Arabidopsis thaliana: one gene and its partner. The protein of the gene in region 1 interacts with the protein of each later gene in a biochemical or structural test. Each region holds a gene or a part of one and is shown on either strand. Other genes may lie near its edges. The genes, in order: PHR1 and SPX1.

What was found.
Region 2: the proteins of PHR1 (region 1) and SPX1 form a complex in vitro, tested with the Arabidopsis thaliana proteins (one study listed by BioGRID).

Annotation. Positions count from the first base shown.
Region 1 is NC_003075.7:14,129,277-14,138,773, reverse strand, and holds PHR1 (phosphate starvation response 1), read left to right. Parts: upstream 1-3,481; 5' UTR 3,482-3,662; intron 3,663-3,815; 5' UTR 3,816-3,822; coding exon 3,823-4,380; intron 4,381-4,470; coding exon 4,471-4,660; intron 4,661-4,743; coding exon 4,744-4,820; intron 4,821-4,889; coding exon 4,890-4,932; intron 4,933-5,018; coding exon 5,019-5,076; intron 5,077-5,163; coding exon 5,164-5,233; intron 5,234-5,376; coding exon 5,377-5,610; 3' UTR 5,611-5,963; downstream 5,964-9,497. Other genes in the region: ABCB23 (ABC transporter of the mitochondrion 1), read left to right, coding at 1-239; ABCB24 (ABC transporter of the mitochondrion 2), read left to right, coding at 821-2,386, 2,772-3,248; NPGR2 (no pollen germination related 2), read right to left, coding at 6,175-6,497, 6,601-6,769, 6,838-8,042, 8,122-8,389, 8,459-8,728. UniProt on the Arabidopsis thaliana protein: Transcription factor involved in phosphate starvation signaling. Binds as a dimer to P1BS, an imperfect palindromic sequence 5'-GNATATNC-3', to promote the expression of inorganic phosphate (Pi) starvation-responsive genes.
Region 2 is NC_003076.8:6,797,670-6,806,015, forward strand, and holds SPX1 (SPX domain-containing protein 1), read left to right. Parts: upstream 1-4,612; 5' UTR 4,613-4,759; coding exon 4,760-5,029; intron 5,030-5,110; coding exon 5,111-5,237; intron 5,238-5,324; coding exon 5,325-5,698; 3' UTR 5,699-5,986; downstream 5,987-8,346. Other genes in the region: AT5G20130 (sulfate adenylyltransferase subunit), read left to right, coding at 509-730, 816-1,031; HBP5 (SOUL heme-binding family protein), read right to left, coding at 1,397-1,492, 1,611-1,824, 1,923-2,057, 2,159-2,241, 2,327-2,398, 2,481-2,549, 2,626-2,763, 2,843-3,223; AT5G20160 (Ribosomal protein L7Ae/L30e/S12e/Gadd45 family protein), read right to left, coding at 6,406-6,432, 6,532-6,663, 6,990-7,310, 7,431-7,433; AT5G20165 (kish-A-like protein), read right to left, coding at 8,293-8,346. UniProt on the Arabidopsis thaliana protein: Plays a positive role in plant adaptation to phosphate starvation. Inhibits PHR1 DNA-binding activity in a Pi-dependent manner.

The DNA of each region.
Region 1 (9,497 bases):
CAACGAATGCGCTTGATAGTAAAACCGAGGCAGAGATAATGAAAACGTTCAGGTCGCTAGCGAGTAACAGAACATGCATTTTCATTGCACATAGGCTGACCACTGCGATGCAATGTGATGAGATAATAGTAATGGAGAAAGGGAAAGTGGTGGAAAAAGGGACACACCAAGTGTTGTTGGAGAAATCTGGCAGATACGCTAAATTATGGACACAACAAAACAGTACACTGGAGGTGTGAATCTCAAGAGCTAGACAGCTAGTGTTTGGGTTCTGTTTTCGCCTCACTAATTCTTTTTTTTTGCTGACTTCCCTTATTTTTGGAATCATATATTTGCAAATATCATTGATGGTACTTTGTAGCCTTGTTACAAAAAATAAAACATATTTGTAACCTTGGGAAAATCATTTATAGTCGTAGAGGTACCAAACCGATTTTTTCAATTACCTTTTGACAAATCAAAAAGTTTCGTTATTCGGTTTTAAAGTAAGCTATTTGTATTACCTTTGGAATCATTGAATTGGATAAAAACCAATAGTCCTTGAAGTATCCGGTTCTCATGCCTAAAACACGTGGCAATCGAACCAGGACCGGTTATCTCCGAGATATCTAATTCATAATCTTATTGTAAACAAAGACTGGGGAGGTTATTAACAAGTTGAGATCTCCAAGCAAGAGGTAATTTTTTAATCTTATTCTTCTTCAGGTGCTATGGTACGAAACTGGATTCAGAAAGAGGTCGAGCAAAAAGTCAAACAGACGACTCTACAGAAATATAAGAAACGAACCAGACGAAACTGTATATGTTAGGACAAGAAGCAATGATGAGAGTTTCTCAACTCCAACTCTGTCGCACTTCTCTTTCGTACCGTCTTCGCTCTGGTTATCATCATCATCATCATCTTCACCACAGTTTCTTCAAGCTCATCAAACGTAACTCAATTCTTGAATCTCCACCTACTAATGCATCTCATCAATCTCCATCCCCGATTACTCCTATGGTCAACGCACGCGTCATGTTCTTCTCCACTTCAACTTCAGCTCCACATCCAGAGAAAATCAACAGGACGTCGTCGGAGAATATCCTTCGGATGATTTCAAGCTATCTATGGATGAAAGACAACCCAAAACTCTGTTTCAGAGTCATCTCTGCTTTTGCGTGTCTCGTGGGAGCTAAGTTCTTGAATGTTCAAGTTCCTTTCCTCTTCAAAGTAGCTATAGATTGGCTCTCTTCATCTTCATTCGTTGATTCAAACCCTTACCTAGTTGCTGCTTTCGCTACTCCTTCCTCTGTTCTCATTGGTTATGGCATTGCTCGATCTGGTTCTTCTGCTTTCAACGAGCTTCGTACTAGTGTTTTCTCCAAAGTAGCTCTCCGCACCATACGAACCATCTCTAGAAAAGTTCTCTCGCGTTTACACGATCTCGATCTTCGTTACCATCTAAATAGAGACACAGGTGCTTTGAACAGAATCATTGATCGTGGAAGCCGCGCTATAAACACGATTCTCTCAGCTATGGTTTTCAACATTATGCCCACGATCTTGGAGATATCAATGGTCTCATGTATATTAGCATACAAATTTGGAGCTGTTTATGCATTGATTACTTGTCTTTCTGTTGGATCATATATAGCATTCACGTTGGCTATGACGCAGTGGAGAATCAAGATTAGAAAAGCTATGAATGAAGCTGAAAACGATGCTAGCACCAGAGCCATTGACTCTCTCATAAACTACGAGACTGTTAAGTATTTCAACAACGAAGATTACGAAGCTCGAAAGTACGATCAGTTACACGAAAATTACGAAGATGCTGCATTGCAAAGTCGGAAAAGCTTTGCCTTATTAAATTTTGGACAGAGTTTTATATTTAGTACAGCTTTGTCAACAGCAATGGTGTTGTGTTCTCAGGGGATTATGAATGGTCAGATGACAGTTGGTGATTTGGTGATGGTGAATGGTCTCCTCTTTCAACTGTCTCTTCCTCTTTACTTTCTCGGGGTTGTTTACAGCGACACCGTTCAGGGACTTGTCGACATGAAATCGATGTTTAAGTTTCTAGAGGAGAGATCTGATATCGGAGATAAAGATATAGACAGGAAGCTCCCTCCTCTTGTTCTGAAAGGTGGAAGCATTAGTTTTGAGAATGTACATTTTAGTTATCTACCGGAGAGAAAGATTTTAGATGGGATTTCATTTGAGGTACCGGCAGGGAAAAGTGTGGCGATTGTCGGTAGTAGCGGAAGCGGAAAATCGACTATTCTTAGAATGATATTCAGGTTCTTTGATGTAGATTCCGGAAATGTAAAAATTGATGGTCAGGATATAAAGGAAGTGAGACTAGAGAGTCTTAGAAGCTCCATTGGAGTTGTCCCTCAAGATACTGTAAGTTGCCATTTTCACTATAAATTTTGCTAGCTCTTACATTTTGTTGTTATGAGTCTAAACCGGTTTTTAGTATGTTAGCATATGGTTACAGATTGGGGTTTGATTATTAGTACTGTATACTCTTTTGTATTACAATCACGTTTACTACATAAATCATGAAGGAAATGATATTGACACTGCAAAATGCTTCTTAATTGTAACTAAAATCTTTATTTTAATATCATGGCCTTTTTCATACGTTTTGGTAGTTTAAAATGTAACATGTCACTTTTCTACAAATTGCATGACTTCAAAGTAACTTCCATATACAAATTTAATATCATTATCAGGCATATATACCAATCATAAATATTCGTATCATTAACCTTAATTCACATGGCAGGTGCTCTTTAACGACACTATATTTCACAACATTCACTATGGAAACCTTTCAGCAACAGAGGAAGAGGTGTACAATGCAGCTCGACGAGCAGCGATTCACGATACGATCATGAAATTCCCTGATAAATATTCGACCGCGGTGGGAGAAAGAGGGCTGATGCTGAGTGGTGGAGAGAAACAGAGGGTGGCACTTGCTCGTGCATTTCTGAAATCACCAGCAATCCTATTGTGTGACGAAGCAACAAGTGCACTCGACAGTAAAACCGAGGCAGAGATAATGAAAACGCTGAGGTCGCTAGCGAGTAACAGGACTTGCATTTTCATTGCACATAGACTGACCACTGCAATGCAATGTGATGAGATATTAGTAATGGAGAAAGGAAAAGTGGTGGAAAAAGGGACACACGAAGTGTTGTTGGGGAAATCTGGCAGATACGCTAAATTATGGACACAACAAAACAGTAAATTGGAGGTGTGAATTTTGTAAAACTATGAATCAAAAAGCCACTTTGGGCCTTTATATAGCCTTTTAAGAGAGTGAAAGAGCAGAAAATATAGACACCAGAAAAAATTTAATAAATAAAAACGAAAAAGATCAAGCCCAATACACGATCCCAATTATCCAATAAACAACGTCCACGTAGATCCCGACAAGCGAGTCATACTCACGCGCTGTTTCACCGAGCGTGAAAAAAACGACGGCTGATCCCTTTGTTTAAGACAGCCACCACCTCCGAAATTAACAAGAAGGCGAAGAAAATCATCACCACCGTCAACTTTTCTCTTGCGGACAAGACGATTCTCCGATTATCCCCAAGAGGAGAATCCTCATAATCATTTTCTCCGATTCGATTCGTCTTCCTTGGTCCTGGATTGCTTCATGAATTTCTAGGTGAGAATTTTCGATCCTTCTCCTTTGCCTTTTGGTAATCCACAGAGAGATAGAGACAGAGAATTTATATCTTTCGAGCATAGTTCGGATTCGATTTGGTTTTGTTTTTCCAGCGAAGTTGATGTTTGGTTGGATAATGATTCTCTCTTGCAGGACAACAATGGAGGCTCGTCCAGTTCATAGATCAGGTTCGAGAGACCTCACACGCACTTCTTCAATCCCATCTACACAAAAACCTTCACCAGTAGAAGATAGTTTCATGAGATCAGATAACAACAGTCAGTTAATGTCTAGACCATTAGGACAAACCTACCATTTACTTTCATCTAGTAACGGTGGAGCTGTTGGACATATATGTTCTTCTTCATCATCTGGTTTTGCAACCAATCTCCATTACTCAACTATGGTATCTCATGAGAAACAACAACACTACACAGGAAGCAGCAGTAATAATGCTGTGCAGACACCAAGCAACAACGATAGTGCTTGGTGTCATGATTCATTGCCAGGAGGGTTTCTTGACTTCCATGAAACCAACCCGGCGATTCAAAACAACTGTCAGATTGAGGATGGTGGCATTGCGGCTGCTTTTGATGACATTCAAAAACGAAGTGATTGGCATGAATGGGCTGACCATTTGATCACTGATGATGATCCTTTGATGTCTACTAACTGGAATGATCTCTTGCTTGAAACAAATTCCAATTCAGATTCAAAGGTTGTTATAGTTTCTTGTTCCAAGTTTTTACTTTGTTTCTATTTGATATCTGTATTCTCAAGTTGTTCAATACTGGACACACTTTTTTAGGACCAGAAGACACTGCAAATTCCGCAACCTCAGATTGTTCAGCAGCAACCTTCTCCGTCTGTGGAATTGCGACCTGTTAGCACAACATCTTCAAACAGCAATAACGGAACGGGCAAGGCACGAATGCGTTGGACGCCAGAGCTTCACGAGGCTTTTGTTGAGGCTGTCAACAGTCTTGGCGGTAGTGAAAGTGAGCATTTATTTCTCTTTGCTTTCCATAAACTTTGAATTGTATATGGAAAGATAATAACTTTTTCTTTATATTTTACTCAGGAGCTACTCCTAAAGGGGTACTGAAGATTATGAAAGTTGAAGGCTTGACTATATATCATGTTAAAAGCCATTTACAGGTTCTTACTATTCTTTAGTTCCCTGCTAATGCATATAATTGTCTTCTAATATTAGATTGTGTTTTTCAGAAATATAGGACAGCTAGATATCGGCCAGAACCATCAGAAACTGGTAAATACCGAACTCATTCCCATCTTCGTTGATGATTTTACCTGAAGAATTCAATGTAAAAACTAAAGTTTCTTTGATCACTACAGGTTCGCCAGAAAGGAAGTTGACACCGCTTGAACATATAACATCTCTTGATTTGAAAGGGTAAGGTTTTCTTGTCGGTTAACATCACAATGCTACACGCTACACCATTTTTAACTGATTCTTACCTCATACATATTTATACTGCAGTGGGATAGGTATTACAGAGGCTCTACGACTTCAGATGGAAGTACAGAAGCAACTCCATGAGCAGCTCGAGGTATGTTCATAAAGGCATTGCCATTAGCTTTGGTTTTTTATACTTATGTGTTTGGATTGTAGCTGCTAAAGAGAAAATGTGAAACCTGTTTATAAAGTATTCTGAATTTGGGTATGACATGTGTTCTTTTCCTTTGCCTGCAGATTCAAAGAAACCTGCAACTCCGAATAGAAGAACAAGGCAAGTACCTGCAAATGATGTTCGAGAAGCAAAACTCTGGTCTTACCAAAGGGACAGCCTCAACATCAGATTCCGCAGCCAAATCTGAACAAGAAGACAAGAAGACTGCTGATTCGAAGGAGGTTCCAGAAGAAGAAACCAGGAAATGTGAGGAACTAGAATCTCCACAGCCAAAGCGTCCCAAAATCGATAATTGAAAGTATTGGTCTTTTGCTGGATAATCTCGGAGTTTCAGAGTTAACAGTGATAGAGAGAACGAGCTCTTATCTTGAGGTTCTTCAGGACTTCTCTCTTTACTGTTTAACTATTTTTCTGATGGAAGACTCTCAACTCAGCTGTGTAGACAAACAACAGATCCCCAAGGAAGAAACAAAACAAAAATAAAAAGTTAGTTTGGGAGAATCTTCATCATTCAGTGTAATCTAAATGCTTAACTCATCATTAGTTTTACAGCTACAGATTTCTTATGTTAATCTTTTTTAGAATATCAAACCTGAAAAGTTTTCTCCGAAAAATTTATAATCTTTTATGAGTAAATAGTAAACCTGGCTTATAAAATTTACCTCACCAAAACCTATATTAATTTTTGTTTAACTGTGTATTACAAAATGTTTATAAACTTGACATCAAATGATATACTCGTACACATACATCTTTATATCTTCTTATATTCATCTATCAAAAACAAACACAAAAAAAAAGAATCAGAAAAGGAGAAATCATAACCAAAGACAAAAAAAATATGATTTGAGAGGGCAAAATCATCTGAATGGCTCCACTGGCATTGTTTCCTCCAAAGTAACGGCGGCTTGAAAACACTCAACGGCTTCTTGCATCGACGAGACGGACCCTTCAGCTTTGAACATCTTTCCAAGATTGTACCAAGCCGAGTGGTTCAGCCTATCAATCCTAAGAGCCTCCATTAGAAAGCTTCTAACAACCGCTATGCCTGATCGGTTACCGACCTCCAGCAGTATCTCAGCCTTCGATGTTAAGCTTGGGACGTGCATCGGATCTATGTCAAGAGCGGTTGTGAACGCCTCCATTGCTTCTTCTAATTGCCCCCGTCTATTGTACAGTACACCTGCCAATCGGTACGAATAAGCTATCAATATTACCGCCTTGCTTGTTTCAAAAAGACAAACAAACACTCCAAGTCTAAATGGAAGTAGAGAAGAAGGTAATACCTTCAATGTGGTATCTAACAGAAGAGTAAGGTGCAATGAGTCTTGATCTCGAGAGACATGACTCTGCGTCACGCCATTGCGAGAGGTTTATGTAAATATGAGCCAGATCGTGCCACGTCCCAAGCTCCAGACTCATCAATTCCTTTACATATCCCTGTAATGAATAAATCTGTTTCAGTGTTAATTCTGCACAACTCACAACTTTGGTAGAGAAATCAGAACATACGAAAATGTTACCTTAGGCAGCTTCTTTGCAGAATTGAAGCTTTTGCTTTGAACCTGAAGGAGTGCTAGAAGTTGTGTGTAAGTCTTAATCGCATCTTTCACTTCTCCTTTAGCTAAACGAAGCTTTGCCTTCAAACGTAACAGCTTCCCCTGTTCCCATTTCCCTGTCTCGTTAAGCGCTGCATCCACAATGGTCTCCGCGTCTGAAAACCGCTTCTGTGCAGATAAAACCCGAGCCAAAAGTAACCATACTTCAAGATCAGACTCTGCTCCAAGTTTCAACGCCTCTTTAGCATATGCTAATGCAGAATCCAGTTTCCTCTGTTCTGCATTCTCCAACGCAAGACGGTGCACAACCCTCGGGTTTGTCATATCTGCAGATTCCAGGGCCTGAATCCCCTCGGATTGCCTAGCTATCCTCTCAGTCTCTGTAACAGCCATTCTAGAGCTTTCCGTGAGCGTGATCCCTAAAACGAAACGCGCTGCTCCATCTAATTGACTGCATTCCTTCCCCAAGTTTCCGATAGCTTTCCGGGCATAATCTAACCCTTCCTCAGCAAGACCAGACCTCTCACCGCATATTTTGGAAGCCATCAGCAAACCCGAAGTCCTGTTTGGATCCTCTCGTTCTGAAAATAGCTTCCTCAGTAAACCTAACGCAACAAGACCTTCTCCTGCACCTTGGTAACACAAAGACAATGTATGATAAAGTTCCCTCTGATCCAAGAGCTCAGGACTAAGCTCTTCAAACTGCTTAGCCAGAGCGGTTAGATCGCCTGCGATTGTAAGAGCGAACGAGAGATGGTCCAAGATTGCCGCATCCCATGAGATTCTTTTCAGATTAACTTTCCTGAGAAGTAACATCAGAAGAAGAATAGCTTCTTCCACATTGTTCCTCGGAATGAATGAGCCCTCAGTCTGAGAACGTAGGTTTGGCGGCACTGCTTCTTCCCCGGAATAGAGGAGAAACACTGCGTACTCTTTCTGTATCCTCGCCGTGGTTTCTGGATCGAGTTTCCAGTGATTGAGAAGCGCTCTTCTATACGACAAAATAGCATCACGAGGTGAATCAGCAAGCTTCCACAACTCAGGAAGCAGCTCAACCGCTTTTGTCAGTGTCTCCTGCAACTTAATATCTCCAGTCACATTATCCGACGCACCTTCTGCTAAAGAAGTCTCGACTATATCAAGAATAACTCTGCAAGACTCCGCAGCTTCTGCAAGAAGAAGCACATGATATTTCTGTTTAGCCAAAAACAAAACCAAACACGGATTAAGAGAAATGACTGTTACTACCTTGGAACCTTCCAAGACGCTGGAGAGACTTGGCTTTGAGAAAAATAGCTTCGAAAAGTAAACTAACAGCATGTTTAGACATGGCAGGTGAAGGAGCAGTAGAAAAGCCGCCTTTAGACCGTCTTCTATGTTTCCGGTCTTCTCTAACGGTTAGAGCGGTTTTCATCTTTACTGTGATACCATTGATATCTATCCCTTCAAAGACTCGCAATGCCGCCTCTATATTTCCTTTCTGATACTCAATTCTTCCCAAAAGCGCTCTCGCCTCCTGAAACAACAACACAATGGCTAAGCTTGTCCAATCAAACAAAGCTCAAGAGTGACCAAGAAATCAAACCTCGTAGTTCAATGAACTCGTCTCACGCAGAGATAACTCGGCTTCTTCGATATTTCCATTATCTAGTTTCTTAGCATTCTCGCTTTCTGCGGTCGATAAAGCTGAGCTTCCATTGTAGTCTCTACCAACTCCAACCTCAGATTTCTTGTCTTCTTCTTCTCTATGCCTCATTTGTTCACCAGAACACAAACACTTCATTCTGATCTTCCTCAAACTTTTTCTTAGTTTACGTAAATGCAACTTCTCAGGCCTAATCTCGCTGTTCTTCATAACTTCTCAATGATCTTCAAAATGACATCAGAGACAATAATGATATTAAGATTTGGATCAAACATAACAGAAACAGATAAGAAATATTCACATAATGCAAAATATAACAGAACATTATATGATCAAAATCTTGATGTATCCAATTCCTAAAAACTAACGCCGAGAACTCAAAAATCATTGAACATATTTCGAGAAAGAACAGTGACAATAATTTCAGCATTTCAACTTTAAGAACTCACCCCCCCTCAAGAAAAAGTGAATCCGCGAGAAAGTCGAGAACTTTGGGGATTCTAACTAAGTACAGTAACCAAAAAGGCTCGAAATTTCAGAATCGAAATTGACAAATTAAACAATTCAAAACCCTAAAATCAGATCGAATCACAAACCCAATTGAAGTAATAAGGAAGATCAAGAAACAGAGAGGGATAAAGAAGAGACCTTTGAGAATCAGAGAAAGAAGAAGAGAAAAAGAGAAAGCCGACAGCCATGGCCGCCTCGAAATTCTTCAGACTTATTCCAATTCGAAGCAATCAAGCAAAGGAAAAGGAAACAATCCACCCAAAATTAAAAGAAAAATCTGATCTTTCTTCTTCTTCTTCTTTAGTTTTTTTTTTCACCCTTTTACTTTCTCTCCTCTGCCTTTTGCCTTTGTCGCTTTCTGCATCGTTGTGAGTGAGTTTTCTTCTTTTTTATTGCCTCTTTGTTTGGTTGATGTTTTCTTCTTCACTAATACCCAAAAAAAATCCGATTAAAAAAAAATGTGTAATTT
Region 2 (8,346 bases), on another chromosome or scaffold:
TTACTTCCCTTGATTCTTCGAAAGGACAAATCTTGTAGAATCTGCTGAACCCAATCAGAGCGTACATAACATGGGGTCGAATTGTCTGACTCTTTTTGAATGGTCTTACTCAATTAATTATGCTTGTTACTGATAAGGTTCTGAACAAGTTTAGCAGCTCAACTCTTAGCTATATGTCTACTGTATCTAGTCTAGGACTGGGTGTAGCAGATTAGATCCGCTGTGAGTTAGATTCGAGAGTAGGAGTTTCATAAGTTTGTGTTGATTGGCCATTTGGCTGAGAGTTTCAAGTTCCTCTTTAATCAACTCTCTCTGGTTTGGTGAATTCGTATGAGAATAGCAGTTGGTTAGCAATAACTTCATTCCAGGAAGTACAAAAACCCACACTTTCTATCTCTCTGAATGAAAAGTTTTATGACAGAGCGACAAAACTAAAGAGAGACAGATAAGAGGTAGCTTCATGATTTGGTGGCTAATACTCTGCCGTTCGATTTCCTTGATTGTGCAGGAGCAAGCTCGTAAATCATTGGAAAGCGCTCTTGGTGGGAAGAAGAATGAGTTTGAGAAGTGGGACAAAGAGATCAAGAAAAGAGAAGAATCCGGTGGCGGAAATGGTGGTAAAGGTGGAGGAGGAGGAGGTTGGTTTGGAGGTGGTGGTTGGTTTAGTGGCGACCATTTCTGGAAAGAGGCACAACAGATTGCCTTTACCCTCTTAGCAATACTTGCCGTGGTATGCTTTAAGTAAATGTATTTGGTCTTTCATGAATAAGACTTTTTGTTGTTGATGGTTTTGAATTGTTTAATGGTTGCTGCAGTATATGGTGGTTGCGAAAGGTGAAGTCATGGCTGCATTTGTGTTAAACCCGTTGTTGTATGCGTTGCGAGGAACACGGGAAGGTTTGTCTTCTCTAAGCTCCAAACTCATGGGAAGAGAAGCTTCCAAAGTGAGTGGTGACAACTCAGAGGAGATGTGGAAGAAGGAAGGTTCCACTGCTAAAGAGAGCGTTGTCCGGAAATGGGGAAGTGACTGAAACACAATTCTTAAAGCTGACTCAAGAAGAATGACTTTGGGTGTTTTTGTAACATCAAGATGAGATAATATGCAATCGACCTTTTCAGTTTTGTAATGGAGGATAGGTATTTTCTGTGAACAAGAAAGAGTGACTCTGTTTGTAACTTCCATCATCCATTTTTTTAACATCAAGAGGAGAGCAAATATGTCTCATAGATAAATGCTTGTCCACAAATAATGAGCAAGCTTAATGTTGTAGCCTGTAGGTTTGTGTCTATACAGCTTTTCTGTCGTCGCAATCTTAAAATTATAAAGTAGATGGAACCTCTACATACGTCTTATGGTAACATTTGGCCAAGCTCTAGCTAATCCAGACTGAAATCTTCAAGCCATATGATAACTTCGTTCCTCTGCAAATGCAAGACAATCACAAAGAACAGATGAGAGCCACGAATCAGACGAAAATGATAGAACCTGCGACTGAAGACAATGATCAAACCATCATTTGGGTATGTCATGATGATAATAATTAAAAGAAATAAGACTAATAGATGGTTTCTAACTAGACATCAAATATTGCTAAAGCTTGGAATCATACCATTATGAAGTTCCATGTTCGTCCTGGATCGTTGTAACGAGCAAGCATACAACCTTTCTTAGCTCTCAGACCATCTTTACTCAGACTGCTCCTCAGTTCATTCTCTTTTGCTTGGACAACATCCTCTGTCGGTTTACCACTGAATTTCACTGCTGCAGCAAAACCGCCTTCCAACTTCTTCAAATTTACCTTTTCTTCATTAGGCATTGGTAAGCTAGAGGAAAAAGGAAAGCAAAACCATTCTCATCACACAATGATTCTCATTAACCATATCTGATGTCAACTAAAAAACTATCCATGATAAGGCTTTACCTGCTAAGATCTTTTCCTGATGGAATAACAATTTGTACAGAGACATCAGAAGAGAGTTGAGTATCTGTTGTTTGAGTAAACACTGGAGTTGTCATTGGTATTTTCTCCATGGTCGAGTTCTTTCCAAATATGTAGCTTCATAGGTAAAAAAGCTAGCATGTGTTACATTTATCAAAATAAAACAAGATGCCAGAAGAATTTATGGACACTCACAGAAACTTAGACTTAACCCTCACCCAGCAACATTGTTGAAACCTGAAGAACCAGAAAGCTTGTCACCAATTGTCTCCACCACAATGAAGGGCTCATAGTTTCTAACCTGCCAAACAATCAAATCCAACTTAAGGCAAGCAACCACATTTGCATAGTTGGTTCCATTAAGCCAATACATGAAGATATGTGACCTCATAGTTTGCTGTTCTTTTCAGTATTTGATACTTTGGAGTTTCCAAGTCTGGCGTTTTATATATCCGTAACTGCAAAAAAAGGTAGTACTTGTAAGATATGATTAACCATTTCTAAGGGGGCTCAATTCATGCCAAATGCCAAGAAAGCAACCTGCTTAAAAACATCAACAAGACCTTCAAGAGAAAAGTAGTCATTGTTCTTGATAGAATCCCACAAGTCCTGCACAACATCTACTTGTAATAAGTAGACCATACCACAATAGATTTTGGAAGAAGGACATGGCAACCATACATACCAGATGACTACAAAATTTGTTAGTTTCAGGATTAACTTCCATGATTGATAATCCAGTGAAGACAAGTTCTGGTTTCCATGGTAAAGGTATGAACTTCATCACCATTGTCCATCTCGTAGTGATCTCATATGGACCTGTCTATATATCAGCTGCATCAGTGAACTTAAAAAAAACTAGAATTAAAGAAATCAAATGATAAACAAAAGTTAGCAAAGACCTGTTTAGCCCAGTGAAGCTGAAACTGAGGAGTGAAGATATTCTTGAGGAAAGCAATGTTGAAGAGATAGCCAGAGATGGTGTCGTGCTTAGTGATTGGGTCTCTGAACTTCACGCGCTCATCGTACGCCGTTTTATCGATTCCTTGGTCGTCGAAAAGGTGAGGAAGATCCTCGTACAAGAATCCGACGAGCTCTTCCATGTTCACTGTCGACGGTGCTGAAGCCACTTCCTTGCCCACCTCAAGACTCAAAATTGGCCGTAGACGAGTGGTTACGTTGCGTCTCGGAACAGGGAGGAAACGGGTGGTTACATGCCGCCGGCAGTCACTTCCGACGGCGGTGAGTATTGGCCGGTAAAGCTGCTGATTAACGGTAGCCATTGATCGTTGATAAAAAAGTTTTCTGCTCTATTTTATTTCTTGTGGTTGTTCGCTTTCATTTAACAATCGGTTCTTTTTTGGTACTGTCGGTTCGGTTTGGTTCTGGTTTTATTTACGAACCAAACTAAATTTGTTTCGGTTAAAATTCAGATTTTTTTTTCACTCTTTAGGCTTTTTTCATTATGGAACTTTGACTTAACGAGGCCCATTCCATTTGGGCTACTGGAGGGAACTTAACTCCAACAATGGATTACTTTGCTTGCATACATTAATTACATACGTACCCAGAAATGAGACAGAGACACGAAAGTTTCGATTATACGGCAAAGTAAATATTGTTTTAGTTTATCCGTCAAAGATTGTAAAGAATACGACGACCATGTCATAAGGATTTGGACTTTGGTTGTTTGACTAATAAACTGATAGTCTTCTTAATAAATATAAATTGACAAGTTGTAAAATCAGCAGAATTTGCTGCATATAGACAATGTCAAATGGACCGGTGGTTTATCCTAAATGTCAAAATCAGAAGCTAATAATGAGCAAATGTGAATGAATTAAGACGCGAATCGGGAAAATTCAATAAATTGTCCATTGGGGGGTGCTTTAAAGAAAGATTGAAAGATGCCGAGGTTTATACCCTTTTCCTATCAAGAATATTCCATGGAATCCAACTACTTTTGACCCATTTGCGTATTTGTTAAATCTTTTCAGAAAATCAAAAGTGGGTAAATTGTCAAACTAGTTGTAGTATTGAACTACTATTTATTGATCATGCCATCATCATGGAGAGACAGATATGATCATGAAGACCAAACGTCCACGTATTTATGTCATGACGACAATCTGAGCTGGATTTGAGGATATCTGTAACTGTAAATACTATATCCAATATTCATTTTTTTTACTTTGCAATTCGTTTTTGATTAAATCTAAAAATGCAAAAAAAATAAAAAATCACTACTACATAGTGTATCTGCATGTATAAATAGACATATATTTTTAAAAAGATGATTTAATACATACTGTACATAGTTATGAAGATATCATGAACATATATAGACAATACCAAATAAGGAAATCTAATATCGTAAAATATTTAAATATCAGATGAATACAGTACAAACTCTAAAGAAAATGAATCAAGATATTAGTACGATACCCATACGAATTTAGAAAAAAATGAATCAGATAAATGGATATAAAATCTGTAATATTATTTTTCTTTTTTTGGACAGCAAATCTGTAATAATAAGTATTGGATAAATAAATTGGCATGTGAGTTGTGATTGATATTTATGAACTGACATAGGCATGTGTTATAATCTCACCCACAGATAACCACGAAAAAGTAATAAATAAGAAAGGAATAAAAGGAAGATATTCTCCCGAAAGAAAGACAGAGAAAAAAGGATATTCTAATTAGAAACCTTAAGAATATTCTTTTTAATCCCTTTTATATCTCTAAACCTCTTCCCCCTCTCTTTCTTCTTCATTCATCATTCTCACTTAAGTTTCCCAGAAAATAAAAGAGCTATGAAGTTTGGTAAGAGTCTCAGCAATCAGATCGAGCAAACTCTTCCTGAATGGCAAGACAAGTTCTTGTCTTACAAAGAACTCAAAAAACGACTCAAACTCATCGGTTCCAAAACCGCCGATCGTCCCGTTAAACGACTCCGTTTAGATGAGTTTTCCGTCGGAATATCGAAAGAAGAGATCAATTTCATCCAATTGTTAGAAGACGAGTTGGAGAAATTCAACAATTTCTTCGTTGAGAAGGAAGAAGAATATATCATCAGACTAAAGGTAATATAAACAACATTTCGAATCCGATTCCTAAAAATGATCATCTCTTTTTCTAATGTGTCTCTGTCTGTACAAAAACAGGAATTTAGAGATAGAATTGCGAAAGCTAAGGATTCAATGGAGAAGATGATAAAAATCAGGAAGGAGATTGTTGATTTCCATGGAGAAATGGTTCTTCTTGAGAATTACAGTGCTCTTAATTACACTGGTAATTTAATTTAATTGCCTCATTAAGACTTAATCTTATTATTAGTAGTAGAACAAAACGTTGATGAATGGTTTGTTGAAACAACAGGATTGGTTAAGATACTGAAGAAGTATGACAAAAGAACTGGTGATCTCATGCGTTTACCTTTCATCCAGAAAGTTCTTCAGCAACCTTTTTACACTACTGACTTATTGTTCAAGCTTGTCAAGGAATCTGAGGCAATGCTTGATCAGATCTTCCCTGCTAACGAAACTGAGTCTGAGATTATCCAAGCAGAGTTATCAGAGCATAAGTTCATGGAGAGTCTTCATATGAAGAGCACAATCGCTGCCTTGCGGGTTTTGAAGGAGATCAGGAGTGGAAGTTCTACTGTTAGTGTGTTTTCATTGCCGCCTCTACAGTTAAATGGCTTAGATGAGACATGGAAGAAGATTCCATTGTTGGAGCAAGAAGCCAAATAGAGAGTGAGACAGAGGCACACTCGCTCTATTCCACTTTTTTATACAATAGAAGAAGCTAACAGATTAAACAAGACATTATCATCAATGTACACAAAAAGGCAGAAGAAACTATAGGATCATGTTTCTGGATATCATCTTTGGTCGGTCATAAGTCCTTAGGTTACACAAAACTGCAATGTAACTTTGTTTCTGTGTTGGGTGTGTTGTAGTTGATGTAATATATACCACTTCAGATTAATTATTGATTTCTTCTTTTCCAAAGTCATATGCTAGATATTTCAAGTTCTCTACTACTACATATACAAGTTCATAATCCTCTTCAAGAAGAAATGATGACTGCAAATGATACTAGTGACTCGATCTCAATTCAAGGTAAGACTTTGCATAATGCAACAGACCAATTGATTTCGTATTCAATCTCAATTCAAGTCCTTCAATTTTTATTTCAATTTTTTTGTTCGTTTTGTGATAGATATCAAAACAAGTTCTTATAAATAACACAATGATTCGCTACAAACCAAAACCAGAAACCAACACAAATTCTTAAGAAACCAAGTTGCAGAAAAGTGAATTACGTTACAAACTTGAAGAGAAGATAGTAGAATAATGGACGGTTTTTGATTTGGTAGTTGCCTAAACAAAACTTCAGTCAAAGCCTTCCCATTCGCGGAGACCCATCATACCGAGCAATCAATTCAGAGAATGCCTTAGATCAGAAGCTTCTCAATAGCATCCTGAAGAAATGTAAAAAAAGAGTTAATGATTAACCAATTCTGTGGAATCAATGATGGTTCAAGGTTATAAAGAGAGTACACAAGTGAGGGCTAAGTTACCTTGAGATGTTGAATCTGTGATTTCAATTGACTAGCTTCGTTAGATGTGACTGAACAAGCGATAACAGGTCTAGTCACACCACAGGCTCTTCCCAAGGCTTGCTTTGAAGGCACAAAGACATAAGGAACATTCTACAAAACATTCACAAAGAAAGTAAGAATATAGAAAACTAGTATATAAGAACAACAAAGCATTACAGAATCAAAAACATACAAGCTAAACAAAATCATAAAAGACAATCATAAAGCTGTCATTTTAAACTCCAACAAGTATGAAATCAGAGTTTAGTTAACAAAATGATATACAAAACTTGGCTGAACATTGGCACAAACTAATCAAACTATATCCTCAGCAAGTAAACTTAATTCTCTTCTATGAACTAAGGAAACAAATATCTCATTTGCTAAATAAACTGGTGTATAATAAAAGAGAAACCCAGAGAAAGAAGAAGTCAAACCTTATCCTCAGCAAGTAGGGGAAGATGAAGAAGAATCTCTAGAGGCTCAGCATCTGCAGCCATGACAACAAACTCGGAGATTCCACGATTAAGAGTCTTCGTAGCTGAAATGAACAAATTTAAATAAATCAGGAACAACTTCACAAACATTAAACTCAATAAATAAGAGAGACAAACACACATGAGTAACAAGCGGATACCTTCATTAGCACCCTTCTTGAGCTGCTTGTAGTTAGTAGCTTGTTGAACGAGGTCAAGAATTGTTATCGATAACTGAGAATCTGCAAGCGGATACGCTTTAGGGTTGACGACTTCTCCGGTCTGCAAGAAGAAACGAAAACAAAAACAAATTAAAACCCAAATCAGACAATCAAAGAGTAAGATTCCTTCGAAAACACTGCAAGATAATACCGAAAAGAAGAAAGAGGAAGAGAGAAGTACCATTTTCAGCTGCGATGTCTAGGGTTTCAGAGAGGATTAGGGTTTTAGAGGCTACGACTTTCTCAGCTTGAATATTCTGAATGATAACTTAGGCTTACGCTGTTACTTATATGCTTGTCGATTTTATACATCTTTTTAATGGGCCTGGGTGATGATATACTTCGGCCCATGTGAACTAACCTTAACCGACAGAACTAGTTTTGACTTTGGGAGTTTGGTTTTTTAGTTTCTTCTTTTGTCGGCGAAATTTTGATTAAAGCCCAAAAGGGTAACCATGACTTCACCTTTGTTCTTTTTGCTCGCATAAAACTGATCGATTATCCAAATTGACTGATAATTTTACAGCTACCACACACACAACAAACTTTTATTAACTGATGCTCTCATTAGTTCAATGAAATTAGTAAACTTGAAGTTACGTATGTGATTACTCTCTTCCTTTACGACAAAGATGCGTTTTATTAGCTGGTTCTGGTGTCTTATGCTCTACTAATTTCTATGGTTGAGCTTTATGGACTTGTCTCCACATTAAAATAACAGACACAATTTGTTCCAAATACAAGACCATATCCATAATCCAAAGAGGATAATATTCTACTCTTTCAGTTTCATCAACAACCCCTTGGAATCTTTTGCATACAGAAAAATGAGCATCCCAAAGAAGTAAAAATCTACAAGAACTGGATATGTAAGAAGTTGACACTCAAAAGAAAATGATCGACACACCCATCATGAAGCATCCAGCGGAGACCCAAGGGCTCAAACGCTCACCTGGTACAAGTGATGACAAAGCAAAGTTAAGCAACAGAATGTTCGGCGATGGAAAACAAATGGCAGTAAAAGTAGGAGGATATAGACTTAACTATATGCCATCATGCATATGCTTAAATAGGAGATCGACCATGGGTTTTAAAGC